7 linked regions of the Sus scrofa genome follow. The protein of the gene in region 4 interacts with the protein of the main gene of each other region in a pairwise test. Links are inferred from orthologs where the notes say so. Each region holds a gene or a part of one and is shown on either strand. Other genes may lie near its edges.

What was found.
Region 1: the proteins of LDOC1 (region 4) and NXF1 interact in binary tests that used the Homo sapiens proteins (3 or more experiments, as listed by UniProt). The two-hybrid records come from large-scale screens. The link is inferred for Sus scrofa from reciprocal best matches to the Homo sapiens genes LDOC1 and NXF1.
Region 2: the proteins of LDOC1 (region 4) and FXR2 interact in binary tests that used the Homo sapiens proteins (3 or more experiments, as listed by UniProt). The two-hybrid records come from large-scale screens. The link is inferred for Sus scrofa from reciprocal best matches to the Homo sapiens genes LDOC1 and FXR2.
Region 3: the proteins of LDOC1 (region 4) and HDAC4 interact in binary tests that used the Homo sapiens proteins (3 or more experiments, as listed by UniProt). The two-hybrid records come from large-scale screens. The link is inferred for Sus scrofa from reciprocal best matches to the Homo sapiens genes LDOC1 and HDAC4.
Region 5: the proteins of LDOC1 (region 4) and GNL3L interact in binary tests that used the Homo sapiens proteins (3 or more experiments, as listed by UniProt). The two-hybrid records come from large-scale screens. The link is inferred for Sus scrofa from reciprocal best matches to the Homo sapiens genes LDOC1 and GNL3L.
Region 6: the proteins of LDOC1 (region 4) and ZBTB16 interact in binary tests that used the Homo sapiens proteins (3 or more experiments, as listed by UniProt). The two-hybrid records come from large-scale screens. The link is inferred for Sus scrofa from reciprocal best matches to the Homo sapiens genes LDOC1 and ZBTB16.
Region 7: the proteins of LDOC1 (region 4) and ATF4 interact in binary tests that used the Homo sapiens proteins (3 or more experiments, as listed by UniProt). The link is inferred for Sus scrofa from reciprocal best matches to the Homo sapiens genes LDOC1 and ATF4.

What each region holds. Positions count from the first base shown.
Region 1 is NC_010444.4:8,968,585-8,972,867, forward strand, and holds the start of NXF1 (nuclear RNA export factor 1), read left to right. Parts: upstream 1-1,483; coding exon 1,484-1,511; intron 1,512-4,283.
Region 2 is NC_010454.4:52,886,258-52,889,757, reverse strand, and holds part of FXR2 (fragile X mental retardation syndrome-related protein 2), read left to right. Parts: intron 1-468; coding exon 469-578; intron 579-789; coding exon 790-876; intron 877-1,174; coding exon 1,175-1,397; intron 1,398-1,864; coding exon 1,865-2,062; intron 2,063-2,155; coding exon 2,156-2,356; intron 2,357-2,454; coding exon 2,455-2,550; intron 2,551-2,681; coding exon 2,682-2,782; intron 2,783-3,127; coding exon 3,128-3,223; 3' UTR 3,224-3,500. UniProt on the Homo sapiens protein: mRNA-binding protein that acts as a regulator of mRNAs translation and/or stability, and which is required for adult hippocampal neurogenesis. Specifically binds to AU-rich elements (AREs) in the 3'-UTR of target mRNAs.
Region 3 is NC_010457.5:138,654,467-138,658,670, reverse strand, and holds the start of HDAC4 (histone deacetylase 4), read left to right. Parts: upstream 1-1,404; 5' UTR 1,405-1,490; intron 1,491-4,204. UniProt on the Homo sapiens protein: Responsible for the deacetylation of lysine residues on the N-terminal part of the core histones (H2A, H2B, H3 and H4).
Region 4 is NC_010461.5:115,579,325-115,583,421, forward strand, and holds LDOC1 (protein LDOC1), read left to right. Parts: upstream 1-1,297; 5' UTR 1,298-1,511; coding exon 1,512-1,952; 3' UTR 1,953-3,805; downstream 3,806-4,097. UniProt on the Homo sapiens protein: May have an important role in the development and/or progression of some cancers.
Region 5 is NC_010461.5:47,282,744-47,285,020, forward strand, and holds the end of GNL3L (guanine nucleotide-binding protein-like 3-like protein), read left to right. Parts: coding exon 1-201; intron 202-1,440; coding exon 1,441-1,523; 3' UTR 1,524-1,777; downstream 1,778-2,277.
Region 6 is NC_010451.4:41,638,171-41,642,335, reverse strand, and holds the start of ZBTB16 (zinc finger and BTB domain-containing protein 16), read right to left. Parts: upstream 2,801-4,165; 5' UTR 2,477-2,800; intron 2,457-2,476; exon of another isoform or gene 2,210-2,456; intron 985-2,209; exon of another isoform or gene 861-984; intron 1-860. UniProt on the Homo sapiens protein: Acts as a transcriptional repressor. Transcriptional repression may be mediated through recruitment of histone deacetylases to target promoters. May play a role in myeloid maturation and in the development and/or maintenance of other differentiated tissues.
Region 7 is NC_010447.5:8,742,953-8,747,058, reverse strand, and holds ATF4 (cyclic AMP-dependent transcription factor ATF-4), read left to right. Parts: upstream 1-1,306; 5' UTR 1,307-2,205; intron 2,206-2,777; 5' UTR 2,778-2,869; coding exon 2,870-3,095; intron 3,096-3,191; coding exon 3,192-4,051; 3' UTR 4,052-4,095; downstream 4,096-4,106. UniProt on the Homo sapiens protein: Transcription factor that binds the cAMP response element (CRE) (consensus: 5'-GTGACGT[AC][AG]-3') and displays two biological functions, as regulator of metabolic and redox processes under normal cellular conditions, and as master transcription factor during integrated stress response (ISR).

The sequences.
Region 1 (4,283 bases), on a different chromosome or scaffold from region 4:
ATCATAACTAAAAGGGTTGGGCTGATGGCCCTGACGGGCCAGGCTCACTCACTCTGTGCACACAGCTGCCTCCCGCAGGGGGTTTCCAGGTGTAGCAGCACTTAGTTAGCATGGAAACTTCCCTTCAGAGGCCCGTAACAGGATCCCAGCCTGGGTCCCTGATTGACGGCAACTTCCAGGACCATCTCCAGAAGTATTTGGACCTGTCTCATCTGCATGCTCCAACCATTTGGCCCCAAACTTACTTGCGCTGGATGAAGTAGGAGCCCTGCCTGCTGCTAGGAGTGAAGGTGACATGAAGAATCCGTTCCCAGCTCCAGCTGAGGCTCTTGGTCCCCTTGAAGCCCCTCACCACATCCAAGCCAGTCAGAAGAATGAAGGAGTGACCTGCCTGGAACACCCACCCTCCAGGGAGGTTAATATGCTTTCTAGTCCTGACCAGGACCCAGAACCACATCATCCTGCATCACTGGAGTTCCCCCACTTCACACACCCGAAAGGAAGCTCAAGCTGTAGAGACAACAGTCACTATACACTGTGCTGGCCCCAGTACTTTGAGGGGTCCAGGAGAGCCCAGGTCTTTCCTAGCCATGGCATTTTAATATTTCCTCTCCCTTTGGCCTGTGTTCAGCGTGTGGTCAGGCTGGCCTCCTCACTGCCCAGTTGACACAAGACGTGGGTTTAGCATAGCACATCCCGGTGGGTTGGTGGGTGGGTTGGTTTGTGAAGACAGCCAAAGCCTGGCAAATGCCGTTTTTCTCTCCTTTGATTGCAACTCTCTCGGAGGGAATGCATAGATCAGTAGTTATTTCACAAATATATGTTGGGTTCCTGCTGCGTGCGTGCTAAGTATGGTATCCAGTCAGGTGCCGGAGAGAAAAAGCCGTGAATTAATCAAGCCCCTGCTCTCTAGGAGTTTACCGTTAGTTTTCTATTTCATTTTATAGGCGAGGAGACCGAGGCCTAGATCTGCAAGTGTCAAAGGGCTGAGCTGAGACTTGCCCTGGCTGGATCCTTCTAGGTGTCTATGTGCGGTCACTCCCGCTCCTAAGGGCCTGGTCTCCCACTCCTCGGAAGCCCTTCCTGTAGCCCCTCTTCCCTGTTCCTCTCGGAATCCTGGGCTGCAGTAGCCACCTCTCCGCTTCACCGCTGACCCTGGAGGTGCTCCAGCAGAGAGCTACTAGCGGCGGGGTGGATGAAAGCAGGGGGCCGGCGAACCCGCGGTAACTCGGCTTCCCAAGCTCAGGTCCTGGGCGGGGCGTGCAACGCCAAGTCCCGCCCCCGGCTAGTCCGCTCGTCGAATGCGCACGCGCGTCTCCCAGTGGTTCCGCCCATCACCGTGGGACGTCGGCTGCGCGCGACGCGCTGGCCGCATAAATGCGGCGGCATCCGGCGTAGGAGCACTTCAGCCGGGAGAGCCTGGGCGTTCGGACGTTTGCCGGTGTCGCGGGCCGCGACAGAGCCCGCCCCTGCTCGCTGCGCCATGGCGGACGAAGGGAAGTCATACAACGGTCAGTGCTGGCCCTTGGGTCGGGGAGCCGGTCGATCTTGGGCCCTGCTGGGCTGCGCCAGCCTAGGCCGCAGCGCCGGGGCGTGAGGCCGCGAGGGGCCCGGCGTCCACGGGGAACGGCGGTGGCGCGGCGCGGGCCCGGGGCGAGGCAGCCCGGGGGCCTGGGTGAGCTTGAGGGTTGGGTGCCGGGGTTGTTGACGCTGGGATCCTCCCTTTGCGGGCCCCTGCGACTCGGAGAGGTGGCTCAGTGGTGGGGTGATGAGATTCCTTTGAACTTTGTGGGTGGTTGATGCCTGTCAGTTCAATTTGGCGGCCAAACTGTTTAATGTGAGTCAGTGCCCTTCTCCTGGGCTGATGTGCCCTATTTTCTACCGCGCGTCCAGGCGATTTTGCCCCCTCCCCCACCTAACGCGTCTGTCGCTTAGGCTTAATATTTTAGATCTGCACATCAACTCGATGTTCTGGTCCAAACACTACACTGAGTTTTAGTCCAGAGCGGTGGTTAGGAGCCGAGGTTTCAATCCCGAGTTGGCTATGCCAAGCTTGAGTAACTTACACCCTCAGACTTCGTTTTCCATCTCCTTAATGAGGATAGAAACAGTACCAGCCTTCTGAGTTTGTCTCCGTGTGTGTGTGTGTTAAAACGAGATCATTCATGTCAGGTGCCTGGAGCATAGTGCCTGACACTGGAGAAGAGTGCTCAGTGAATGTTAGCAACGACTTGTGTGCATTTATTACTTTTTTCCTAGGGTAACTTCTTGAGAAACTCATATTTTTAGTTTTTTAAGGAACCTCCATACTCTTTCCCGTAGTGGCTGCACCAGTTTTCATTCCTACCAACAGCGTAGGAGGGTTGCCTTTTCTCCACATCCTCTCCAGCATTTGTTTTTGTGGACTTTTTAATGTTGGCCATTCTGATTGGTGTGAAGTGCTACCTTATTGTGGCTTTGATTTGCATTTCTCTAATAATTAGTGATGTTGAGCATCTTTTCATGTGCCTGTAGGCCATCTGTATCGTGGGTCTTTTTTTTTTTTTCTTTCTTTCTTTTTTTTGCTTTTTAGGGCCCCAGCCGAGGCATATGAAAGTTCCCACGCTAGGGGTCCAATCAGAGATGTAACTGCTGGCCTACACCACAGCCACAGCAACGCCGGATCCTTAACCCACCGAACTAGGCCAGGGGCTGAATCCGCATCCTCATGGATCCTAGTTGGGTCCGTTAACCACTGAGCCACGCAGGGAACTCCTTCATGGGTCTTTTTTAAGAAGCGCTTCCTACACACCAGGGTTCAGAGGATCATATTCTTGGAGAGGACCCTTGGTGAAGCATCCTAACTGCCACTGGAACCTGAATTCAGGAGTTGTCTCCTTAGTTAAAAGCCTTTTCTGACCAAGAAAACAAAGAGCTCACTCCCAAACGTTCAGAGTGGCAGTTTGAGAATAAGACTTTTAAAAGAAGCCCTTAAATTGGTCCTATCTGTGTGTGGTGTTTGTATTGTATGGGCAAAAGGAGAGCTGTTTCCCCGAAAGCTAGTGTAATCATGAGGACGGATTTGCCACCTGTGAGAGGGGTCACCTCGGGGTTAAGTAGATTTGGGTGGGCCCACAGAAAGCGGATGTCGGGTGACTTTTGAGGGGTTCGAATTGTGTCCAGTTACTCTGGGTCACTCACACTTCACATTCACTTGAGAGTGGCAGTTGGAGAGCAAGATTTTTTTTTTTTTAAATCTTTTTAAATTGAGGAAGGTTGATTTACAATGTAATGTTGGTTTCAGGTGTACAGCATAGTCATTCCTGTATTTATAGATTACACTCCATTAAAAGTTATTGGAAAATAATCGTTGTCATTCCCTGTGCCGTACAACAGATCCTTGTGGCTTATCTCTCTTATACTTAGTAGTTTGTATCTCTTAATCCCATATCTTGCCTTATCTTGCCCCTCCCCCTCATAACCACTAGTTTGTTGCCTGTATCTGTGAGTCTGTTTCTGTTTTGCTGTATACATTTTATTTTTTTAAATTCCACCTGCAGGTAATGTCACATAGTATTTGTCCTTTTCCCTCTGGCTTATTTCACTAAACGTAATACCCTGCAAGTTCATTCATGTTGCAACTATGGCAAGATTTCATTCTTTTTGATGGCTGAATAGTATTCCGTTATGTGTGTGTGTATGCACCACATCTTTATCCATTAGTCTCTTGGTGAACACTAGGATCGCTTCCATAGCTTGGCTACTGTAAATAGTGCTACCGTGAACATGAATCTTTTTGCATTATATATTTCTTTCTAGATGTATATCTAGGGGTGAAATTGCTGGTGGTCATATGGTAGTTCTATTTTTAGTCTTTTGAGAGGAGAACAAGACTTTAGAAGATGCTTGTGGAGTTCCCTGGTGGTTCAGCAGGTCGAGGATCTGATGCTGTCACTGCTGCAGCATGGGTTTGAGCCCTGCCCTGGGAACTTCTGTATGCCTTGTGGGTGCAGCCAAAAAAAAAAAAAAAAAGGTCTTAAATTGGTCATATTTGTAACTGACATTTGTGCTCTATAGGCAAGAGTCCTGTTTACCAGAGCTGATGTAATCATTGAGATTGGTTTTTCCCCTTGTGATTGGTTTTCCTTTGTGATTGGTTTCCCAAGATATAATCACTGACCACATTTCCAGTGGAGTTAAGTAGACTTGGGCACTTGAGAGCAGGCAGTTTTCAGGTGACCTGACCGAGTGTGAGTTGTGTCCAGTTACTGCTCGGGACACTCGCACTTCCACATTCTGCTTCT
Region 2 (3,500 bases), on a different chromosome or scaffold from region 4:
GAGGGACCAGTTGTGAGAGTCATTGTTTTGTTTGTTTTTGTTTTTTAATTTTTGGCCATTCCCGTGGCATGCAGAAGTTCCTGAGCCAGGGATCAAACCCATGCCACAGGTATAACCAGAAGCACAGCAGTGACAATGCTGGATCCTTAATCTGCTGAGCCATGAGGGAACTCCAAGAGTCTTTAAATTGATTCTGGGCTTGGCGCCTCCCTGTGAACTTCCGGTTTTGCAAGGACAGAGCAAACAGTCTATAGTAGGAGTGACAAAAATGGGAGAACAGGTTTCTAGGGATTGTTATATTTTATCCTATGAAAATGCACCAGAAGCCTAGAAGCAGGAGAACTGTTAAACAGAATCATTATTAAAAAGCTGGAAGACTGTTTATCTTGTCTGTTTTTACTCTTCTTTCTTTCCTTTTTTTTTTTTTTTTTTTTTTTTAAAGGCCTAATTTCTCCTTTATCCATTTAGGCAAAGTGATTGGAAAGAATGGAAAAGTGATCCAGGAGATTGTGGATAAGTCTGGTGTGGTGAGGGTTCGAGTAGAAGGTGATAATGACAAGAAGAACCCCAGGGAGGAGGTATGGGTCAGCTATACCTAGAGACTGGTTTCTGAAAGTAGATGGGATCATTCTCTAAGCCATTCTCTGAGGGCTGGACTTTCTAGGGGTTGGGGCACCGGGACTTTGACTTCCCCTAGTAGACGTAGAGCCCAGAAAGATCTCATTCGGGTGGACTTACACTTCATTTAAGTCTCCTTCTAATCCGTCTGTCCTCCCCCCTGCTCTCCAGGGAATGGTTCCCTTCATATTTGTTGGCACCCGAGAGAATATCAGCAATGCTCAGGCTCTGCTGGAATATCACCTCTCCTACCTGCAGGTACCCAAGCCGGAAGCCTGGGAGAGGAAAGAGCCGCGTGTACAAGGGGACTAAGGATGCTGGTGGAAAAAGTTAAAAGTGATGCTTCCCAGTTTGTGTCTGAGTAGAACAGAAACCATGGGGTGGAAACTTGGGGCTGTGGGGCTGGATTCCAGAATTTTCTGTGTTAAGCCTTCTTGCATTCCTGAGAGTTCAGATATGTAGGGACAGTCAGGGCAGAGAAGCATGCAGAGAGGCTGTTGTTGAGCTTATACTTTTTTCTCCTTCCTTGTTTTTTCTCTGACTTCTGCCCAACCAGGAGGTGGAGCAGCTTCGCCTGGAGAGGCTGCAGATTGATGAACAGCTTCGGCAGATTGGGCTGGGCTTTCGCCCTCCTGGGAGTGGGCGGGGCAGCGGTGGCAGTGACAAGGCTGGATATACCACGGACGAGAGCTCTTCCTCCTCTCTCCACACCACACGAACCTATGGGGGCAGCTATGGGGGCCGGGGCCGGGGCCGGAGGACAGGCGGTCCTGCCTATGGTGAGCCGGCTATGGGAGAGGGAGGCAGGGCAGTGGTGGTGGGCGGGGGCAGAGGTCTGGGTGGAAGCTTGAGGAAAGGGTGATAGAGAAGATGAAAAAGTGGAGTTCCTGTTGTGTCTCTGGTAACGAACCCAACTAGTATCCATGAGGATGCGTGTTCAGTCCCTGGCCTTGCCCAGTGGGTTAAGGATCCGGTGTTGCCGTGACCTGTGGTGTAGGTTGCAGAGGCTTGGATCCCGAGTTGCTGTGGCCACGTAGGCAGCTGCAGCTCCAATTCGACCCTTAGCTTGGGAACTTCCGTATGCCGTGGGTGTAGCCCTAAAAAGACCAAAAAGAAAAAAAGGAAGAAAACAAAGTGATTGGCTGGAGGACTTAGGAGAGAGAGAGTCTTCAGCCTGGAGGCTGTGATGGATCCTGGGGTAGGGAGAGTGACCCTGATTGAACCTCACTGTGTTGGTGTTCGTCAGGCCCCAGCTCAGACCCATCTACAGCTTCTGAGACGGAGTCAGAGAAGAGGGAGGAGCTCAGCCGAGCTGGGCCCGGTGACAGGGATCCCCCGACTCGGTCGGAAGAAAGCCGGAGGCGGCCTGTTGGGGGCCGGGGTAGGGGACCCCCGCCTGCCCCCCGGCCCACCTCGAGATACAACTCTTCGTCTATCAGCTCAGGTACCAGAAGCAAACAGCTGGGTTTGTGAATGTGCGCCAAAAGGAAGGATGCGGTGATGGCACCTGACTCCTAACTCTTCTTCCTCTAACCAGTGCTGAAAGACCCAGACAGTAATCCCTACAGCCTACTGGACACATCTGAACCGGAGCCCCCAGTTGATTCAGAGCCAGGGGAACCCCCCCCAGCAAGTGCCAGGCGCCGCCGCTCCCGCCGCCGCCGCACTGATGAAGACAGGACTGTCATGGATGGAGGCCTAGAGTCTGACGGGCCCAGCATGACAGAGAATGGCCTGGGTAAGTAAGGGGTGTACCTGGGTCCGAAAAATTAGAACTGGGCAAGAATTGAGAGGTGGGAGATTGATGCACAGCTCTTGTTTTTCCCTGCCCCACAGAAGATGAGTCAAGACCCCAGCGTCGTAATCGGAGCCGCCGCCGCCGCAACCGTGGTAACCGGACTGATGGTTCTGTCAGTGGAGACCGTCAGCCAGGTCAGCCAGCCCTGGGGCTCAGCTCCTTCCTCAGAGAACAGGCTGCCTCCTAGCCTGTGAACTCTCGGGCTTGGGGTTCAGTGGTCGGGTACCTGGGTCCCTTCTGAAACTCGGTCCTCTGCCTTCCCCAGTGACTGTGGCTGACTATATCTCCCGAGCAGAGTCTCAGAGCCGCCAGCGGCCACCCCTGGAACGCACTAAACCTTCAGAGGATTCTCTTTCAGGACAGAAGGTAGGCAAGCAAGATGTAGTTCCCCCTACCTCCTTTTTTGTTGTTCTAGGGCAGGGGGGGCACAAGAAAACTGCCAAAGAAATCTCTTACTAAATTGCAGAGAAGGTGTGTCTGACGGAGTGTAGGCTGCATTTAGAATACTGGAAAGTTTCAGTAGAGGAGAAAGGAAAGTTGGGTTCTTATTTTCTGGATCTGAGTAAATGTGACTAGAGTCCCATCAGGTGAACCAACCCCCGGGTCAGCGGATGCCTGGCGCAAGGGGACGGTAGGGGCTTGTCGTTACCTGGATTTCTACTGACCCTTCTCTTTTCGTCCTCTCCGTTTTCTTTCCCATTTCCCCCTCAGGGTGACTCTGTCAGCAAGCTTCCTAAGGGCCCCTCAGAGAATGGGGAGCTCTCCGCCCCCCTGGAGTTGGGTAGTTTGGTGAATGGGGTTTCATAAACCCTCCAGCCCGCATCCCTCCCTTCTCCATCTCGCTTGCTGCCCAACACCATGGCCCTCACAGGCCCGACTGACCTGCGCTGGAGCTGCTCTTATCTAGGGGGGAGGGGGGTGGCACAGCAGCTTGGGTCCCCCCCAACCTCCAGGAGCTAGTGGAGGGGTGTGTAACAGGGTCATACCCCCTCCCTCTTGTCCACCCTACCCCCAGGGTAAGGGGAGCCTCTCTCCTTCCCCATCAGACTGGATGTGCCTTTATCCTCTAATGCCCCAATCTCTC
Region 3 (4,204 bases), on a different chromosome or scaffold from region 4:
GAACTCCAGGTCTCAACACTCATCTTGGCTCTCAGCTCGTGCATCCGCGCACCCTCAGTGCTTCCCTCACTAGGTGGAGAGCAGGGATTCTGAAAAACGTTAGGCGCACCGAGGCTGGGAAATGAAACGACCAGGGGGTGGTCGCCGGAGACCCCGCCACGCCCTTCGGGTGGGCGGCCCAAGGGGTCTCCGAGGGCCTCCGCGAAGCCCCATGCGGCCGCTTGACAGCACAAACCACCCCAGCACGGCATCCCTCAAACACTGAGCACCCAAGGCAGACGGGCTGGTCGACGGAGTCGAGCGAGGCGGACACGGCTGGGACCACCCGGCGAGCCAGCCGCCCCGTCCCTCCCAGCCGCGCAGGCGCGCTGCGCCCGCCCCACGCCCGCGGGAAGGCCGGCCAGCCCAGCCCCAGCCCCAAAGGCCGCGTTCCCGCCGCGGGGCAGGGCGGGGCCCGCTGCGCCTGCGCACTCGCCTCTCGCGCCGCCCCTGCGCCTCCGGGAGGCGGCACCACCACGTGACCACTGCCAGTACCCAAGATGGAGGCTGTGGCCGGGCCTAACCCGCTCCCCGCCTCAGCCTCCGCCCCGGTCTGCGCCCACTAGGCGGGCAGGCCCGCGGTCATGATTGTTAAGCCACCGTGGGCAGCTCTCGGGGGGGCCGGAGAGTGAAGCTCGCCAGAGCCCCTGCCCTGCTCACAGTCACCACAAGCCCGGGCTCTCTCCACTTTCCCAACCGCCAAGCGCCCAGCGGCTGGCGCCTGGAGCGTCCTCTGATAGCCCCGCCCCTGGGATTGGCAGCTCCGGCAGCCAATAGGAACCAGGACGTACCGGAGAAGGCGGGTAGGGGTGGAGCATCCCTGCCGTTCGTAGGGCGTCGGGCCTGGCGGTTGGCGGCCGCTGGCCGAGGGGCGGGAGCAAACGGGGCGGTACCCGGGGCTCCCGCGGACCAATGGAAGGACGGCCGGGCTCCCGGGGAGGGCGGGGCCGAGCCGTAATTGACGAGCTCTTCATTAGAAACCCGGCAGGAGGGAGGGGCCCGCGAGGGGAGGTGATGCAAAGCCGCCGCAGCCAACGGCTGCAGAGCCGCCCGCCGGGGGGCGGGGCCGGGGCGGCTGACGGGCGTCGGCGGTGGCCTATCAGTGCCCCGCTCGGTGCTGGAGGGGGGAGCAGCATCATGGTTCAACGTGGGTCAATTTTTTGTGAATGAGGAGGGGAGGTTGTGGGGCCGCCGCCGCGGAGCACCGTCCCCGCCGCCGCCGCCGCCGCCGCCGCCGCGCCCGAGCCCGCGCGCCCGCCCGCCGCCCGCCCGCCCGCGCCGCCGCCTCAGCCGCCTGGGCCCGGCGCGCCGCGGCCGCGTCCCCGCTGTCGCCGCCGCCCGAGCGCCCGCCCGCCTGCCGCCCGCGGTGGTGGTGGCGGCGCAGGCTGAGGAGATGCGGCTCGGAGCGCCCGCGCGGGGCTAGAGCGCCCGCCGCCGCCGCCGCCGCCGCGGTAAGCGCTGCCCCGGCCCGGCCCGCGGGCCATTGTCCACCCCCCGCCCGCCCGCAGGCCGCCCGCCGGCCTCCACGCCCCCCGCCGCCCGGCCCCGGCAGGTGGACGCCGGGGTCCGCCCGGCCGGCCGGCCCGGCCCGGCCCGTGCGCCCAGGCCGCGCGTGGCGCCAGCCCGCGGGCGTCCGGAGCGGGAGGACCCGTCCTGGACCTTCCCCTGCTGCCCCAGCCGGCGAGGGCCGACGCGCGGCCGGGGCAGGATGGCCGGCTGGCCCCGGGCGCCCGCGCCCGTCCAGGCCGAGCCCTCGGCAGGTGGGCCGGGGGCTCCCGAGCCCGGGCGGGCGCCGTTTATGTAACTTTGTCGAGGCTGTGAGTTTGCAGAAAAACGTCCCTCCGCGGGGCTCGCGGGCGGGGTGCGCCGTCGCCTGGTGTGTGCCCCGGCCCGGAACGGCAGGGGTGGGGGTGCTCACGACCCGAGTGGGTGCCCGCAGGCTTCCCACAGGCCGAGCTGTGGCCCCGTCCTGCCCCGAGGATGTGAGCCGCGTTTCCGGGCGTTGCAAGCACACACCATGGAATTATAAGCAAATTATCTCGTATTTACATTTAGCGTGGAATTATTTGACACTGTTCTAGCAGGAGATCGTGCGTATCAGTCGGAAAGGCCGGGGGTGGGACCCAGTGTACTCATTTAATGCACATCAAAAATTTGTAATAACTTGCAGCAGCTGATATGAGTGTTTGCTTTATTGCATGTTGTAAATTGACCTGCTGTGACACAATTTTCAAATAAAGTGTTGCAGAAATTAAACTCAAGTTATTTTAAAACTAATGACTTTCTTAACTAAATCCTAATTGCATTACTGTAGAGACCTACCTAATTGCTCGCAGCAGCTCCGCCTGCCCTCGGTGAGGGAGGAAAGGGCCTGGGTAGTTACTTTGCTTCCCCCTCTTTTCTCTACTCAGGCTTTTCTGTTTATTCCCACAAACCACCTAAGCATGAGAGGCCTGGGAGCAAACATGTAAACAGCCCTCGCCCAGCGCCAGCCCAGCGGGATGGGAATTCTGGTGGGTTTGCACCTTGGCCTGGTTTCACTTTTTCTTTTGTAACATGATCGTGATTGCCTTGAGTTTTCGTTGCTTCTGATAATTCTGTACGTTATTTCGGAGACGGTGAAGCGAATGAAAGCTGTGAGCACAGGTGTGGTGGTTTCAGGATCGGGCCAGGAAAGGTGGGGGGGGAGGGCGAGAGATTGAATTAAGAAAACTCAGCTGCTTGTACACAAATATACACTACAGCAATTACAAAGCAACAAAAGTTATTGCAGAATTTTGCAGTCACTATGGCAACACAATTACTCTATTATAATTGGAAATGCAAAATGCCACCCTGTTAGAAGTTTCATCAGAATGGAGCTCTGGATATCAAAAATATGTGGGGTTTAAATTTTTTTCAGGTAGCTCCTGAGAATTCTAAAATCTGTGTTCAATTGTCTATTTTTAAGACTGATCAAGCTTTCCCAGATACTCTGCTCCCTGGGATCTGTGGCATCTTTCCCCAGAACTCACATTTGTGTGGGAGGGAAGTATTTTCCTGCCTTAAAAACACACACTCTGACACATTGTTAGACTTCTATAGCTTTCTGTGTTCTGGGCTTTTATTTTCAAGATCAGAAACCTTCCTAAAGAGAGCAGTAATCAATCAGAAAAGAAGCAGGATTTCTGCGCAGGCAGTTGTAACACTGCCCTCTTTAGGGTTGGTTCTTCCTCCTGCAAGGGGACCTGGCAGCTCGAGTGCCCCTGGGAGAGCCCTGGGATGGGGGAGGTTGGAGGCGGGGGTGGGGGGGTGGGTGACTGTGGTCTGCACGTAGGCCTGGAAGGCCTGGGGACCAAGGACAGATGTGGCCTGAGCAGCCGTGAGCCAGGAGAGAATGTTCTGTGGTCAGCAGCTTCACAGCCATGCAAAATAAAAAAAAATCTCTAAATGCCCAGTTCGCAGAGGCTGTGGGGGCCCTTGCTGTAGCAAGATGGACAGACCAGCCTGGCACCCCGGCCACGTGCAGCTGGGGAGCAGGTCCAGACTCAGTGGTCGGAGACCTGCTGTCTGAGGGTGCCCTTCTCCATGTTTACCAGGAGGCCTTGAGTTCTGGAAGTTTCCACACATCGTGGGGTTGCTGCAGTTTAATTTCATTATAACTCTTTCCTTTTAACTACTGCATATTTATGTCCAGTAATCGACTTCCATTTTCCAGCTTCATTGTGAGGTTTCAATGCAGCATGAGTGGCTTTGAATTCTCATCCTTTGATGTTGGGGTGGCACCGGGGACAGGCGACTTTGTGCCGTCCTAATTGCCAGAGCAGAAGAAACATTTCATCACTCCTGCAGAATTCGTCCATACCGTGCTCTATTGAAAACGGCTGGGCTTTCATCACTCAGAAACTGCCATGAGTAATAGATTAGTGCCTGATGGAGGGAGCGAGGGAGATGCCGAGAGCGCAAGACCACTGCTGCCGCCGGGAGGCTGCGGGGCCTCGGGCTGTGGCTGCGCCTCGGGTCCCTGGACCAGGTCGCAGCCCCTGCTGGTCTGGCCTGGAGGGGGTTTGGTTTCCGTCCCCGATGGGCGGTCAGGATGTGCCGGGGCGTGCAGGGGGCTCAGGGCTTTGGCCTTGACCTAGAGGAAGGTGGAGGATCTTCTGGTTGAAGTTAGAGAGGGGCCCTG
Region 4 (4,097 bases):
ATGCTATGTAGAGAAATGAAGCAAGGCAAACGTTAGAGGTTACTGGCAGAGAGTGGGGTGCTCTGATAGATGAGGTAGTTAGGAAAGTCCGCTTTGAAAATGGAGGAAGAGTCAGGCAGTAAAACCAGGAGAACATTCTGAGGCAAAAAAGAAAGTACAAAGATCCTGAGGCCAGAGCCACTCAGTGTGTGTGAGCCTCAGCAAGAAGGACAGTGTGATGACAGCAGAGCAGGAACTGGGACAAGGCAAAGGGAGTGAGGCAGGGCTTGATAGGCCATTACCGAGACTTTGGTTTTTATTTTGAGCGAAGGGGGAAAAACTATTGGAGGGTTTTGAGCAGGAAAGTAAAGAGATCTAATGTTTGTCCTAAAGGATTCCTATATCTACTCTGGAGTATGTATATAATACACACACACACACACACAACTTGAGGAAGAGAAGAGTGGAAGCTAAGTGATGAGCTGCAACAGTCTGTGTGAGAAAGGAGGGCTGGCCTTAGGGTGGTAGTGCTGTTTAGAGATCCCCAGGTAATTAAACTGCTGATATATTTAAAAAGCAAAGCTAAAAAAATATATTGGCCCCAAGGTCCTCACCCTGACTTATTTGTCAACTATTTGAATAATCACATTCAAAGTAGAAAACAAAACTATTTTAAAAACACATGTGTTCATTGTTAAGCAAAGAACAATAACCAGTAGTAGGACATGAAATAGAGTCAAAGATAGGCAGGACTCATGCAAATGGTGATTGGATACTAACTTTTGCAGAACTTTTTACACTTTGCTATTTAAAAGTAATTTTAAACAAAAGGATAGAGGTACACAATATTATTTTACAACTAAAGAAAAACCTCTTTTTAAGTATTACTTTGTCATGAAAGACAGGACTCCTGAACGTCTTTCATAACTCTTAAAGGATGTGACTCCTGCGGTGCAGCCAGAATTGCTAATAGTTCTCTGAGTGAGGGAGATTTAAACACGCAAAGAAATGTGTTAAAACCACATAAATGGAATCTGGTGGCCACAGACCCACCGAGGAACATTGAGTCGTTTGGGTTGAAGGGTGGTTAATCCTTTAAACTTGAGCAGGTTAACCCTCTCTGGGAGATGGATCTTAGCGTTTGCTCGGCCTTGGCTAAGGCCTGGCCCGCATCTAGGGCTGGATCTCCCCCCACTGCCTTTATCCACGGGCCGGGAGAACTGCGAGCCAGCAGCCCGAGACCCTGCCCGCCTCCTTGCCTGGCCACGCCCTCCCTCTGTCCGCTCCACTCTGGCCACGCCCCTCCTTTCTCCAGTGCCCGCCTCCCTCCAAGCGGGCGGCGCCGGCGTGCCGGCCGTCAGAGCCGCTGTGTGGGTGGAGCTTGCGCAGCTGCCGGGACCCCTGCGCGCACCGCCTCTCGCCCCTGGCCGCCGCGCGCCTCCGCGGACACGCACTTCCTGCAAGGCCTCCTTGCTCACCTTAGCCGATCCGAACCGAGCTGAGCCCATTCTTGCTCTTACAAGCTGTTCGCCATGGTGGACGAGCTGGTACTGCTGCTGCACGCGCTCCTGATGCGGCACCGCGCCTTGAGCATCGAGAACAGCCAGCTCATGGAACAGCTGCGGCTGCTGGTGTGCGAGAGGGCCACCCTACTGCGCCAGGTACGTCCGCCGAGCTGCCCGGTGCCCTTCCCCGAAACGTTTAACGGTGAGAGCTCCCGCCTCCCTGAGTTTATCGTGCAGACGGCGTCTTACATGCTCGTCAACGAGAACCGGTTCTGCAACGACGCCATGAAGGTGGCATTCCTAATCAGCCTGCTCACCGGGGAAGCCGAAGAGTGGGTGGTGCCCTACATTGAGATGGATAGCCCCATCCTAGGTGATTACCGGGCCTTCCTCGATGAGATGAAGCAGTGTTTTGGCTGGGATGACGACGAAGAAGACGACGAAGAAGATGAAGAAGCTGATTACTAGGCCGGGAGACCCTCGGGCCTAGGGGGGTGGGCCCTGCACGCCGCCACCACCCCCCGCCCCGCTTCGCTCCTCCCGGAGCCGCGACACTTCCCTCGCTCCCTATCTGCTTCCCTAGTCTTCCTAGTCTTCGCTCTGGTTCTCTTCCTTATTCACCGCTCCCCCCCCCCCCCCCCCCCCCCCGTAGTGTTTGTCTTTGTTCTGGGAATAGTGCTACAGTTACCTGCTGCTGGGGCTGGGGCCTCTCTGAAGTGCGCTGCCTCCCACTCAGGCCAGTCCCAGGGCCCAACCCTGCTAATTTGAACTGTGTTCTGAGCCCCAACTATAGGGCAGACTGTTACAAACTGGTCAGACTACCCACAGCCCTGCCGATTGTCAGGCCTACATCTGCCCAAAGACCGACGCTGCCACCTAACCAACCTCCATCACATTCCAGCGACAGACAGACCAGGCCTTTGGAGACAAGGACCAACCTAGAAGATGCTTTTAGTTGGCTATACCACCTGGGACATTGATTTGGACTGCTCACGCCCACCCCACCCCCCCACGAGGGGCGAATCTTTGCACCTGGTTCGTTCCCTCCTTTCCTAACTCATAGAGTCTTCTCCTGCCTCACCAGGTTGCTGCAGGGGCCCGTTGTGCCTGGCAGCCAAATTATTGACATTTCTCTTATGCACCAGTTTTGCACAACTGTCATTTTTCTTTTAAAACTGAAGCAGTCCCACAGCTGTGTGCATTTGGACAAAAATACTAAAAACAAAAACCAGACAGACAAAAGCAGGTACTCAGCCCAGCTCCTCAATACTACATAGAAAAAGCATTTGCATTCTTTTCAATAAATATCAAGCACTACGGAAAAAAAAGAGCGTCTTTTAATGGTTAAGTGCTATCATTGGCCTTTGCCACTCTCACCCTGACTCCCATTATTCCTACTGATATCAGAGAGCCTAGTTCAATCCCATTATTCTCTACTGTCATGTCTGGGCAATAGAGGACTGCTACTACAGAGCTTTATAGGGAAACTGGTGCTCCCCTCACCAAGGCACTTTTTAAAGCCCTGGTGAAGTGAGTGTCCTCTGGGGCTTCCAGGATGGGATGAATAAGGGGTAGTTGAGTAGATGGCACACCATCCCAAACTGGGACACTCGAGAGAAAAAGGGGGCACTATTACTAATCGGAATGGGACAATAGGCGTACATCAGGGCACATACCATATTCCTGTCTTCCTGAGCTTTTGGGTTCTTTCTCAGCCCTGCCAGGCAAGTGCTGCCTCTTAACTCTTATTCCTTGCAGGGTGCTGTTTGAGTTCAGGCTTCCATAAACAAGGTAGCACATTGTTTCAATACCGATTTTAGATGCTTGAGCTAATGTTAAATCCTGAGTCCTGGGTAAATGCACCCATAAGTGGAGCCAGATTTTAATGTTTCATCCTCCTTGGGCAGATAACCCTTAAGATCCCCACCCATCTGTGTGCCCCAGATTCCTGCCTGTAGAAATCGACAAGATGCCTGGCTATCTCCCATACTAGATCTTGTAATGCTGTCTGAGCTGTGCTGAGATCTTTTTGTGGGCCTGGAGGGCTGGAGGCCCTAAGGGAGTGGGGTGAGTGCTGAGAATAATCTCTACTTTTGTGAGCCCATAACCCCAGGTTAAGTCTTTGAAATGTTAAATCAGGGAAGCCTGATTAGGGGATTTGTGGGGCCTATCGCTGCCAGCCAGGAACTGTCAGGAGGATTTGAGGGGTTCAGAATTCTGATTCTTACATGTATCTGCCCAGATGTCTTCTGTACCATGCCGGGAACCAGCCCTACTTTAGAACCTCTAATTTAGATAATAAAATTCCTTCTTGTTTAAGACCTTTTGATGCTGAGTGTTTTATTTGTACCAATAAACCTTACATTGTGGGTTCAATGAGATACAGGGAACAGGTCTCTTGCTGTTGAGCTGGGCTTCAGTAGGAAGGTGTTAGGAGTGAACAGGAGCAGAATAAGCTCAGCAGAGAGAATGGAAATGAGAGCATGACAAGAGTTCATTTTTACTCTTTGGGATCTGACATGAAGTCAGATAGAAAACCAGTTTACTTGGTGAACAGACAAAGTCTAGAGCAAGAGTCATCTTTTGGACCTAAGAAAGTTGTTTCTGTAGGGT
Region 5 (2,277 bases), about 68 Mb from region 4:
ATTGTACCAATCCAAACCGTCATCAGATGGGGTGGGCTAAGCGCAATGTGGACCGACACCCCAGAAACAACAGCACAGTGGAAGTCTGCTCAGTGGACCGCCGCCCGATGCTACAGAGAATCATGGAGACAGACCCTCTGCAGCAGGGCCAGGCTCTGGCATCTGCCCTGAAGAATAAGAAGAAGATCCAGAAGCGTACAGGTGGGGGTCCCTGACCACCCCACTGTGCTCCAGAAAGGGCCCACCTAGAGCCTTATTTAGGGGCTTCTGAGTGAGCATTTCCATGTGTCCAACCCCAGGCTAGGGTTGGGGGCAGAAATGGGTTAGGAGGCTCTCCTGCTACCACAGTGGTTCTCAAACTTTAGCTCGTTTTAGAATTGCCTGGAGGGCTTATTGAAACACAGGTTTCTGGGACCTGCTTTCAGAGTTTCTGATTGAGTAGGTTGTCCATGGGGCCTGAGAATTTATGTTTCTAACTTGTTCCCCATTAGTGCTGATGTTGCTCCTCTGGGGACCACACTTGGAGGACCACTGGCCTAGTCTTATATATCAAATAGCCATTTATTTATCAGCTGCTTCTAATTCCTTTCATTCCCCCAGTCACCCAGGCCTCCCCCCAGAGGCAGCCATTTAATTTCTTGTATCTCATTCCTGAGGTAGGTGCACAGGCAAATATCGGTATGTTCTTCCTCTTTTTCTAGACAAATGGCTAGTCTCCTGAACGTACATTTTTGCCACATCATTTTTCCACTCAACATATATTATGGATAGTTATGCCTCAGTTCACAAAAGAACTTTCCCCTTTGTGTTAATGGTAGTGCGTTGTGTGGCTGGTCCATTTGGGTCACATGCTATATTAATTTTCACTAACTCATTGCAAAAGTCTTATTTGGTGAGGAAATTGTCACTGAAGACATAGCATGGTGAGGGAACCTAACCCAGCCTGGAGGTGGTGGTGGGGTTGAGGTGATAGAGAAGGCTTCCTGAAGGAGGTGATGTCTGAGGCAATCCTGAGGAACAGTAGGGTGTGGCTGGAGGATGGAGGTGAGCATTCAGGCTCAGATCAAAGCCCCTACTGCTATGCTGCCTCTTTCTTGTGAGAGATTTGAGGGTAATGGCAGGGTGCTAAGTTCAACATAGTGAAAGAAAATAGCTGTTTTGATACTAGGAAGGGATAAAAATACTGAAGCTTAGTAAGTCTGACACTCTGAGATTCAGGCTATGTTGGGGTGATCATTTCACAGGTAGATGAATGGGTCTACCTGCGAGGTTGAGCAGTGGCTGCCAGTAGGCCACCAGTTGTTTTGTTTAGTGTTGGAAGGTGATCAGTGAGCCAGTTTGGGAGTTTGATGCAGACCTAGGTAACCGTAGGCTAGCTCTTGTGGGCCTCCTGTTGGCAAGCCAATAACCAAGTAACTGACCGTTTTTTTCTACCTGCAGACAAACTCGCCAGCAAGCTGTCTGATTCCATGATGTCTGTCCTTGACCTCTCTGGCAATGCTGATGACAGTGCTTGTGACTGATCCACTGATCTCATCTCCCTCCCCTCCTCCAAGCACCAGATCCAGTGGGATGGGAAATAACAGATGAAATGAAATGGTTTGGTTCTCCCTGAAGCACCTGCATATTAAAAGAACTCTCCCTGCTCTTTCCCTCTATTTTTTTTGAGGGGAAAAAAATAAACAAAACAGTCCCAAGTGTCTGATACTGGCAAACCCAATACTCTTTATTTAACCCCTACTCTGTTTGTAAGATAAATAAAATAATCAACAGATCACTTATGTGAACAGTTTATCTCCCACCATATAGGTTTTGCTGGTTGGAAGACTGATCCTTCACAAAACCCTCTTGGACAGCTAAAGATGCAGTTAGGGGCTAGGCTGCTTGTAGATTTAGGAGTTCCTGGGAGGGTGATGATTTCTTTACCAATCCACAGCAGAGCTCAGCAGCAAGACATTCCGCAACAGGTCTTCCCCCCACCCAAGTCCACAAATCCTTACCTGGGGGGCAGTGAGAGTAGGGGGAACAGTGATGAGCCTTCTGAGTCTATAAAGGTATAGGAATAGGATAGTGGAAAGAAGAGCACACACAAGCCTGGCTGGCACTGAGGTGTGGTCAGCATTGCCTTGTTCATGCAAAGAGAAAGCAAGGCACCTGTTGGCAGGTGTGTTGGGGGCAAAGCCTGCCTTGGGGACATTTCTGAACTGGCTGTGAGTTGGAGGAATCCCTTGAACTGAAGCACTCTGGCTGGGCCCTGCCTTTGTGTGATCATATCTC
Region 6 (4,165 bases), on a different chromosome or scaffold from region 4:
GAAATCGACTTCTCCAGCCAATGCCTCTGTCCTCCTGCTCTCCTCAAGGCTGCAAAGGACTGATGAACCCATGCCTGACTCCCTCCTTAGACACTGAGAGGAAGACACTCACATAAGCCACATTCTAGCTTGGCTGACTGCCGCCCATAGGTTCCTCAAAGTGCTCATAATCGAAATGTAATCCAAAACCTGGACTGTGTGTGTGCACGTGTGTGCACGTACCAGCCAGAGAGGAAGAGAGAGTTAACACATGTGTGCACTTACATAATATGTCGTACTTATCTGCTGCCCACCAGTGCCCACTGGTCAGGGGGACCTGTATAATGTAAGCTAGGTCATGAAGGACCTATAGAGAGATCCTAAGAAATAAGCACCCCTAAACCCAGAAGTGCACATGCTGGGAAGGTGAATTCCAAGTGTGTCCCACAGGCTCCCAGGAGTGGCTAAGGCCTATGACCCAGAGCAGTTACTGATGCTGGACATGGCTTGGAGGTGCAAGAAGTGATACTGACAACAGTATCTATGGTGTGAGTTTTGATGAATACGAAGGGAAGACAGGGCTGGAGACAAAGGCGTCTCCCAAAGAACCGCCTGGGATCAGTAACAGGGCTGTGGGACTCCCAAACGTGTCTAAAGAGTGTCAGAAAGACCTCGCAGGCCCAGGTCCCTCCCAGCCTCTGCTGTGCTGTGGTCAATACTGCAGTGAAATGACCTGGGAGCAAAGCGGAGCAAGGGCTCTCCCTCTCTCTTGGAACGCTGCTGGCCTTCGCTCCCAAAAGGCGCCCTACTCACTCTATAGCCACAAGTCTTATGCAGAAAGGGTTAACAAGACGACTAATCAAGACACTTTAGCTCCTCACCCTGGGGTGAGAACTGAAGCAGCGGCTGGTGGGGGGGAAACGGCCATTCATGGGCGCCTTGCCACCATGCGCTTTCCAGACTTCGGGATTTCAGAGAACTAGGAGGGGTCAATCCAAAGAACGGAAGCTGGGCTAACCCGAATTCCTTCCCCGACGCAAGCTCCTTGGATCCTGAGGGAAATCAGGGTGCCTCGGTCAGCGGTCCCCGCCACCCGCGGCTTGGCGCCCGCGATCCGGCTGGCGCTGGTTGCAGCGCCCAGCCCTGCGGCGCGAGGGAAAGCCGGCGCTAACCCTCTCGAGCTCCGGGGATCGATCGCGCTCTCATACACCCCTAGCTTTCAGCCACCCCCACGGAGACTTGAAGACTTCAGCAAACTTGGAGAAGCAACTTTTCCGAGGGAGCCAGACGGCAAAGAGAAAGGCAGTCGGGCTAGCAAGAGGGAAAGCGAAAGAGACCCGGACGAAAGGCGAGACTCCGGGCGGGCCGGACGCCTGGGCGAGAGCTGCGAGGAGGCTGACCCGCCCCGCGGCGAAGGAGAAGCACAAAAGCCCGACAGCGAGTTGGGGGAGGAAAGACGAAAAGGGGTCTGCGGGCTCTCCCTCTCCGCCCCAGGGCCGTGACCCCCGGGAGCAATGAGCAAGGTCCCGGGCTTCGGGCTGGTGGCGCCCAGCAGCCGGCGCGCCGGGCCCAAGCACATTGCGAGCGTCCCGGGGAGCTTGGCGAGCGAGTCTCTGCCGAGCGCGTCTGTGCGTTCCAGCGGGTCCGCGGGCCGGCGAGATCGTGCGCATTTCGAGCGCGTGCGGGAGTTCCAGTGGCTCTGCAAGCGAGCCGCAAGCTTGCCGGGGTGAGAAAAGCATCCCGAACGCATCAGGTGCAAAGCCGAGCACCCACCGAGCGCGGCCGGGAGCGCAACTGCGAGCTCCGGCGCCACGGCGGGTCCCGCCGAGAGCCGAGAAGGGCCCGGAGCGCTGGAGACCCTCCAGAGCGCACGGCCACGGTGCCCCTCCCCCCCCAAAAAAAAACCTGGGGCGGGGGGGCTGGTCAACTCTAGTCAGGAAAAAAGAGCCCACCACGTTTTGCAAAGAGAAACAAAACCCAACTGAGTCCCAGTTCTGCTTCCCTTCGCCCTAGATCTACTCCTCGGATCCTCCGATTCTAGCTTCCCAGCCGGCCGGCGAATAAACACACAAATAAACCACAGCCCTATCTCGCGCCCGCGCACCGGTCGGCATACATATGAGCACCCACAGGCTCCCGGCTCCTCCGCTGGCCCCTGGTGGTACAAAGCCTCCCGATCCCCAACCCTCTGCTCGTGCCCTCAGCCCCCGCAGACCGCTCTGCCCCCCACCTCTCGCCCCGACCGTGCCCTGGAGCGGAAGGGTTGGGGACGCAGCTGCGCCCAAGCTGACAGCCGAGGCTCCCGCTTCTAGCCGACCCCCAACCGCCGGTGGCGACGGCCGCAGCAGCAGGAAGGGAACAAGCAGAATAAAACAAGGCAGAAGCCCAACGGCCGAGTGGCCGAAGCGAGCGCGCCCCCCCAGACCTCTCCAGCCCCGGGGCGCCCCGGCGCAAGGCTACAGCTGGGCGGTGCGCCCCTCCCCGGGCCCCCACTCACCGCTGCCGAGCCGGGCGCCGTGGGGTGGGTGTGCGTGCCTCCTCGGGGGGTGTGCCTGTGTCGGGGAGGGGGGTGTTGCTGGGGAACTGTTGCTCTCGGTATCAAGGCGGCAGCGGCGGCATCGCCCGGCAGTTCGCAGTACCCGCTCTCATCGCCCTCAACTCCTCTCTACTGCGAGGTTAGCAAATCACCACCGGCTGCGGCGCCTCCGCCGCGTCCCACGTCAACGCCGAGCCCCCTCCCCTGCGAGGCCCCGGCGCCTCTCCATCTTTAGTGCTGGCGGCCGAGCCCGGCTCCCTGCCCACAGCTGCCCCCCTTCCCTCCCCCCTCCCGCGCTGTCCCCGGACTCAGCCCGCCCACCCCCCGCACTGGCCAAGCCCGCGCGCGCTCCCCGCCCCACCCCTTTCCTCCCCTCCCTTCCCTTCCCTGCGCGCCGCGCTCCGGGCTTTGCCTGACATCTAGCTGCTGCTGGGGCGCCGGCGGCCGCCGCTCACTGGCCAAGCGGAGAGGAACGGAGCTGGCGGAGAGGAGGGTCAGGGACTCGGAAGCCTTAGAGTGGGCAATGGAGGTGAGGGGCGAGGAGCAACCACCCCCCCAGGTTTTTAATTTCCACTGGACACAGGTTTTGTTTTCCCCAGCTGCTCCAAGCTTGGAGTTTTGTCCCTGGCTCCAGTATTTGCCCCTATTCAGTGCGTGTCATCTCGCCTTGCACTTTTTCTAAACGTACTCGGGGTGGCACTGCCTGTACCTCGACATCGGTTTTTGAAGGGCGCTTTACCGGCCTAAGCCCAGGCCTTTTGTGCCTCCGGGTCTTCTGAGCACCCAGACTGCCAGTAGCCTCCAGGCGCAGAGTTCGCGGCCCGGGTAAACCAGATGCTAGAGGGTCCGCGGGCTCTATCGTCGAGGGGCGGTGCCCCATTTTGGCTGTCGCGACCCCTGGAGGCCAAGGTCGAGGTCTGAGAGAAACTTTTCTCCCTCCCAGTCTTGGCCATCCCCTAGCCTTTGCCCTCCAGGGAACCTAGTTGAAAACATTTCCTGAGAACTGCACCCCCTTCAGGGCAAAGTCTTCAGGGGGCGAGTAAAAGCCCGAAGACGATTCAGAACCGCAAGTGGTTCCTCTCATCTGGCTCCTCCACTTTAGAGGATGGGGTTGAGGTCGGTAGCCCCCGGGTAGAGCCACCAGAAGAAATCTCCGGATGCGCAGAGTCCCCTTCTCCGCCCTTTTCCCTAGAGCTTGTTGAAGATAGGGCTCGAGAGGCGCAGTGGGCTAACGTCCAGGAGCGTTGGGGTGAGGGTGATGGCGGAGAGCGCCCTCCCTGGGTCTCCGGAGAGTCAGCCCTGGAGGTCATTCAGCCTTAGCAACGAGGGGCTTCAGTCACTGGGTCCCCACGTTCAGTGCCTTTATCACATCCCCAGGCACATCTCAGACACTGTCCCTAACGGAGAGTCGGGCCCCAGGAATTAAAGAGTCAGGAAGGGTGGCAGAAGCCAATAGAAGCAAAAATCTGCTCTGGCCCCATAAGGCCCCTTGGGGGAGGTTTACATCAGAACTGATCTGGGTTCAAGAGCTGCTAATGGGGTAGTCCCAAGGATAGGCAATTCCATCCCAGCCAGCAGCCCTCTCTGTTCACAAGAAAAGTGCTCAGACCTGCAGGAGTCAGAGGAGAGAAGCAAAGCTGAGGGAGAAGC
Region 7 (4,106 bases), on a different chromosome or scaffold from region 4:
TTGGGTAGTGGCTCGGGGGTAGTGGCTCGGGATTCTTACTGTCTTTGCACCAAAAGACCAGATGCCTTGTACATGTTTCCAGAGAATTGAGATTCCCCAAGGGGAAAGAAAAACCATACCTAGTATCCAGTATGCTTTCCTAGACCAGCTGTTTATAGTTGTTGATTTCATCTCAGTAAATAACAGTCCTCTGAGGGAGCAGGATATGATGGGGATGGGAGGTGGGTTAGAAGACCTGCGTTCTAGTCACAGGAGTAATGGCAACCATTTATCCAGCACTTACCAGGTACCAGGCGCACGGCTCAGTGCTGTGAATATATTATCTTAACTTCATTCTAAGGATGAGGATACCCATCATTAGCCTCGTTTTACAGATCAGGAAACGAAGACTCAGTGGGGGTAAGTCACTTAACCAGAATGTCTCCACTAATAAATGGGAAAGCCAAGATTTTTTGGAATTGGCCCTTAAATCTGTCATAACTCCTACCCCATACTGCCCACACCAGGCAAGACATGTCATGCCTTTAGTCATCAGCTTACCACTGTAAAGAAATGGTTGGGCTAGACTGACTCAAATCAATGAATGGTTAGTTGTTATGTAGGAAGTGCCTGACCAATTTTTGACCTCACTGTCCTCATAGAAATAATATTTGTAGGGCCCACTGAAATGAAGGGGAGTGGAAACTCAAGGTTTCCCTACAGGGCCTGATTGGAGGACTGGAAGATGGTGAAAGAGCTTTCTCCTAGCTCTTGACAGTTCCCCAGTAGAGAGGGCAAGTTACTGGCCCTAACCTGGACTGTGGCCTCCAAACACACAAATTCCCCTAAGTGGGCAGGTCTGATCAAGCACCCAGGCAGTAGGACTTGCTGGGAAGTGGTTATGCCGCGGAGTTACAGAGTTGGTAAATAATTGAAACTACCCTAGAGTGAGAAAGAGCAGCTAAATAAAATACCTCATTTTTAGGGGAAGTGAAACTACATAAACTGAAAGAAGTTCCCCTGTCATAGGTTTCATTCTTTAACATAAAAGGAAACTTGTATTTTAGCAGAATGGATATGTAAAAATACAATTGTTTAGACCACAGGATTATGGATTTCCTCCACTCGACTCGCCTCTACAGAGTTGAGTCAGGACGCAGAGCAGGCCTTTGATGGTAGGTGGATCTCAGCTGAGGTCATCAGTCTCCCCTTCCAGTTACTGAAGGGTTCACACGTCCTCAGTATTCTGCAAGTGTGTGCAAGTGAAAACAGACGAAATAACATTTACTCTTGACTAGTTTCACATTCGGGCCTAAACCCGGTCCCTAGTTCGGAGCTTCTCCAAGGGCGGCAGGAAAGGACCACGAGGATTCGGACCTAACGCCACTATTTGGATCTGGGCCAGGGCTGCCCGGGGCAATCAAGGCCAGCTGGGTGGGCGGGGCTGAGGGAGCCTTTGCAGAGCGGCGCTACGGCGAGCAGGACGCCGGGGCCCGGCGGCGGGAACCTCACCCACCTTCCCGCGCAGATCAGGGGCTCCCTCGCTGAACAACCCGCCCGCCTCGGAGCCTGAGCCAATAGAAACTCGATGTATATATGACTCACCATGCCTAACCAATCATTTCGACGCGCGCTCTCCGCCAGTAGCTCGCGCGATAACCAGGAGACCTCGTACTTCACAATAAAAGCCCTTCTTGGGGTGAAAGACTCGTCTCCGCCTCTCGGGCTAGCACCGGAAGTAGCTGTGCAAGATCCTTCCGCGCATCCCGGCAGCGGACGGTGGTGATCCTTAGATCTCAAAAGCCTTGTAAAGTAGTGCGCCCTTTTTTGAGGCTGTAAATAAAAGTAACTCATTTGGTCCTCACAGTTTCGCCCTCGACATAAAAGTCAGAGACTGGAAATGGTAGGGGCGTCGGTTAAATGAAAGCGCGTGGGTGGGAGGCGCTGGTCACGTGACCTAGGCGGAAGAATATTCTCTGTGATGCGTCCCACAGAGGCAGAGTCTATAAAGGACCCGCGCTCGGCGAACCGCCGCCATTTCTTTTCCTCTCCGCTGTAGATGTAGTCCTTTTCTGCGAGTGGGCGCTTTTCTTCCTCCGCTCCCGCAGGGTCCGCGGCCGCCATGGCGTATTAGAGGCAGCAGTGCCTGCGGCAGCATTGGCCTTTGCAGCGGCGGCAGCAGCACCAGGCTCTGCAGCGGCACCCCCCAGCGGCTTAAGCCATGGCGTAAGTACCGGGGCCCGACGCTCTGGGCCGTGTCCCCCCGGGTCGGTGAAGGGTTCTTGTCTGATGCTGGGGCGCGGTCCGGCGGCGTCGCGGAGGGGGAAGCGGTTTTACGAGCGCCCGGGACGCGTGGCCGCTGATGGGGTGACGCCGAAGCGCCAGCGCCCCTGGGTCGAGAGGCCGCTGCGCTGTTCGGGCGTGGGGCGAAGTCCTCGGTACCTCCGGCCCCGGCCGGGGGGCCGGGGCTCCCCCTGGGGCTCCACGAAACGTGGCAGCAGCCAAGATGGCGGCGGGGCAGGGCGGCGGCCGCGGCGTGAGTCACGGGCGGGCGTGGGCGGGGCCGGACTCGGCCGGGAGGACCGGGCGCCTTCCTCTGGTGGCGGGTCGGGGAACGGCCGGGCGTCCATCTTGCGCCGCCAGGCGGACGCGGGGAAGGTTGGCAGCCGGGGCCAGCGGCCCCCAAGTCTCAACAACCACACGGGGTCGGGATTTGGCCGTCCTGCCCCGGGGGTGGAGAGGCGAAAGGCTCAGACCAGCTGTTCTCTAATGGGGCTTGGTTTCTGGTTCCTGTTAAGGCTTCTCACGGCATTCAGCAGCAGCGTTGCTGTAACCGACAAAGACACCTTCGAATTAAGCACATTCCTCGATTCCATCAAAACTCCGCAACATGGCCGAGATGAGCTTCCTGAGCAGCGAGGTGTTGGTGGGGGACTTGATGTCCCCCTTCGACCCGTCGGGTTTGGGGGCTGAAGAGAGCTTAGGGCTCTTAGACGAATATCTGGAGGTGGCCAAGCACTTCAAACCTCATGGGTTCTCCGGCGACAAAGCTAAGGCGGGCTCCTCCGAATGGCTGGCTGTGGATGGGTTGGTCAGTGCCTCAGACAACAGCAAGGGTGAGTGGGCTTTTCCCTGCCGGTGGGGTCTGGTGATAAAGCCTTGCTGCCGCGTGCATCTGACTCTGGGTTCCGTCCCTCTTAAATCTCTTGCAGAGGATGCTTTCTCCGGGACAGACTGGATGGTGGAGAAAATGGATCTGAAGGAGTTCGACTTCGATGCCCTGTTGGGTATAGATGACCTGGAAACCATGCCAGATGAGCTTTTGGCCACGTTGGATGACACATGTGATCTCTTTGACCCCCCACTCCAGGAGCCCCCGCAGATAGTGAACCCAATTGGCCATCTCCCAGAAAGTTTACCAACAACTGACCAGGTTGCCCCCTTTACGTTCTTGCAAACTCTTCCCCTTTCCCCAGGGGCCCTGTCTTCCACTCCAGATAATTCCTTTAGTTTAGAGATACAGGGTGAAGTGGAAATCTCGGAAGGAGATAGGAAGCCAGACTCCACTACTTACATTACCTTGATTCCTCAATGCATAAAGGAAGAGGATGCCCCCTCAGATAATGACAGTGGCATCTGTATGAGCCCTGACTCCTATCTGGGCTCTCCCCAGCACAGTCCCTCCACCTCCAGGGCCTCTCCAAGTAGGAGCTTGCTCTCTCCCGGGGCCCCTTGTGGTTCTGTCCGGCCCAAACCCTATGATCCTCCTGGAGAGAAGGTGGTAGCAGCAAAAGTAAAGGGTGAGAAACTAGATAAGAAGCTGAAGAAGATGGAGCAGAACAAGACAGCAGCCACTCGGTACCGCCAGAAGAAGAGGGCAGAGCAGGAGGCCCTCACTGGCGAATGTAAAGAGCTGGAAAAGAAGAACGAAGCTCTGAAAGAGAAGGCAGATTCCTTGGCCAAGGAGATTCAGTATCTCAAAGATCTGATAGAAGAGGTCCGCAAGGCACGGGGAAGAAACGCGCCCCCTAGCTGCCGGGCAGGGGTGTGCATGTGCTTGTACATAGGCTAGGGCTTTAGCTGTGTGTTGCAATAAATTATTTTGTAGTGAACGTACTGCTGATGAC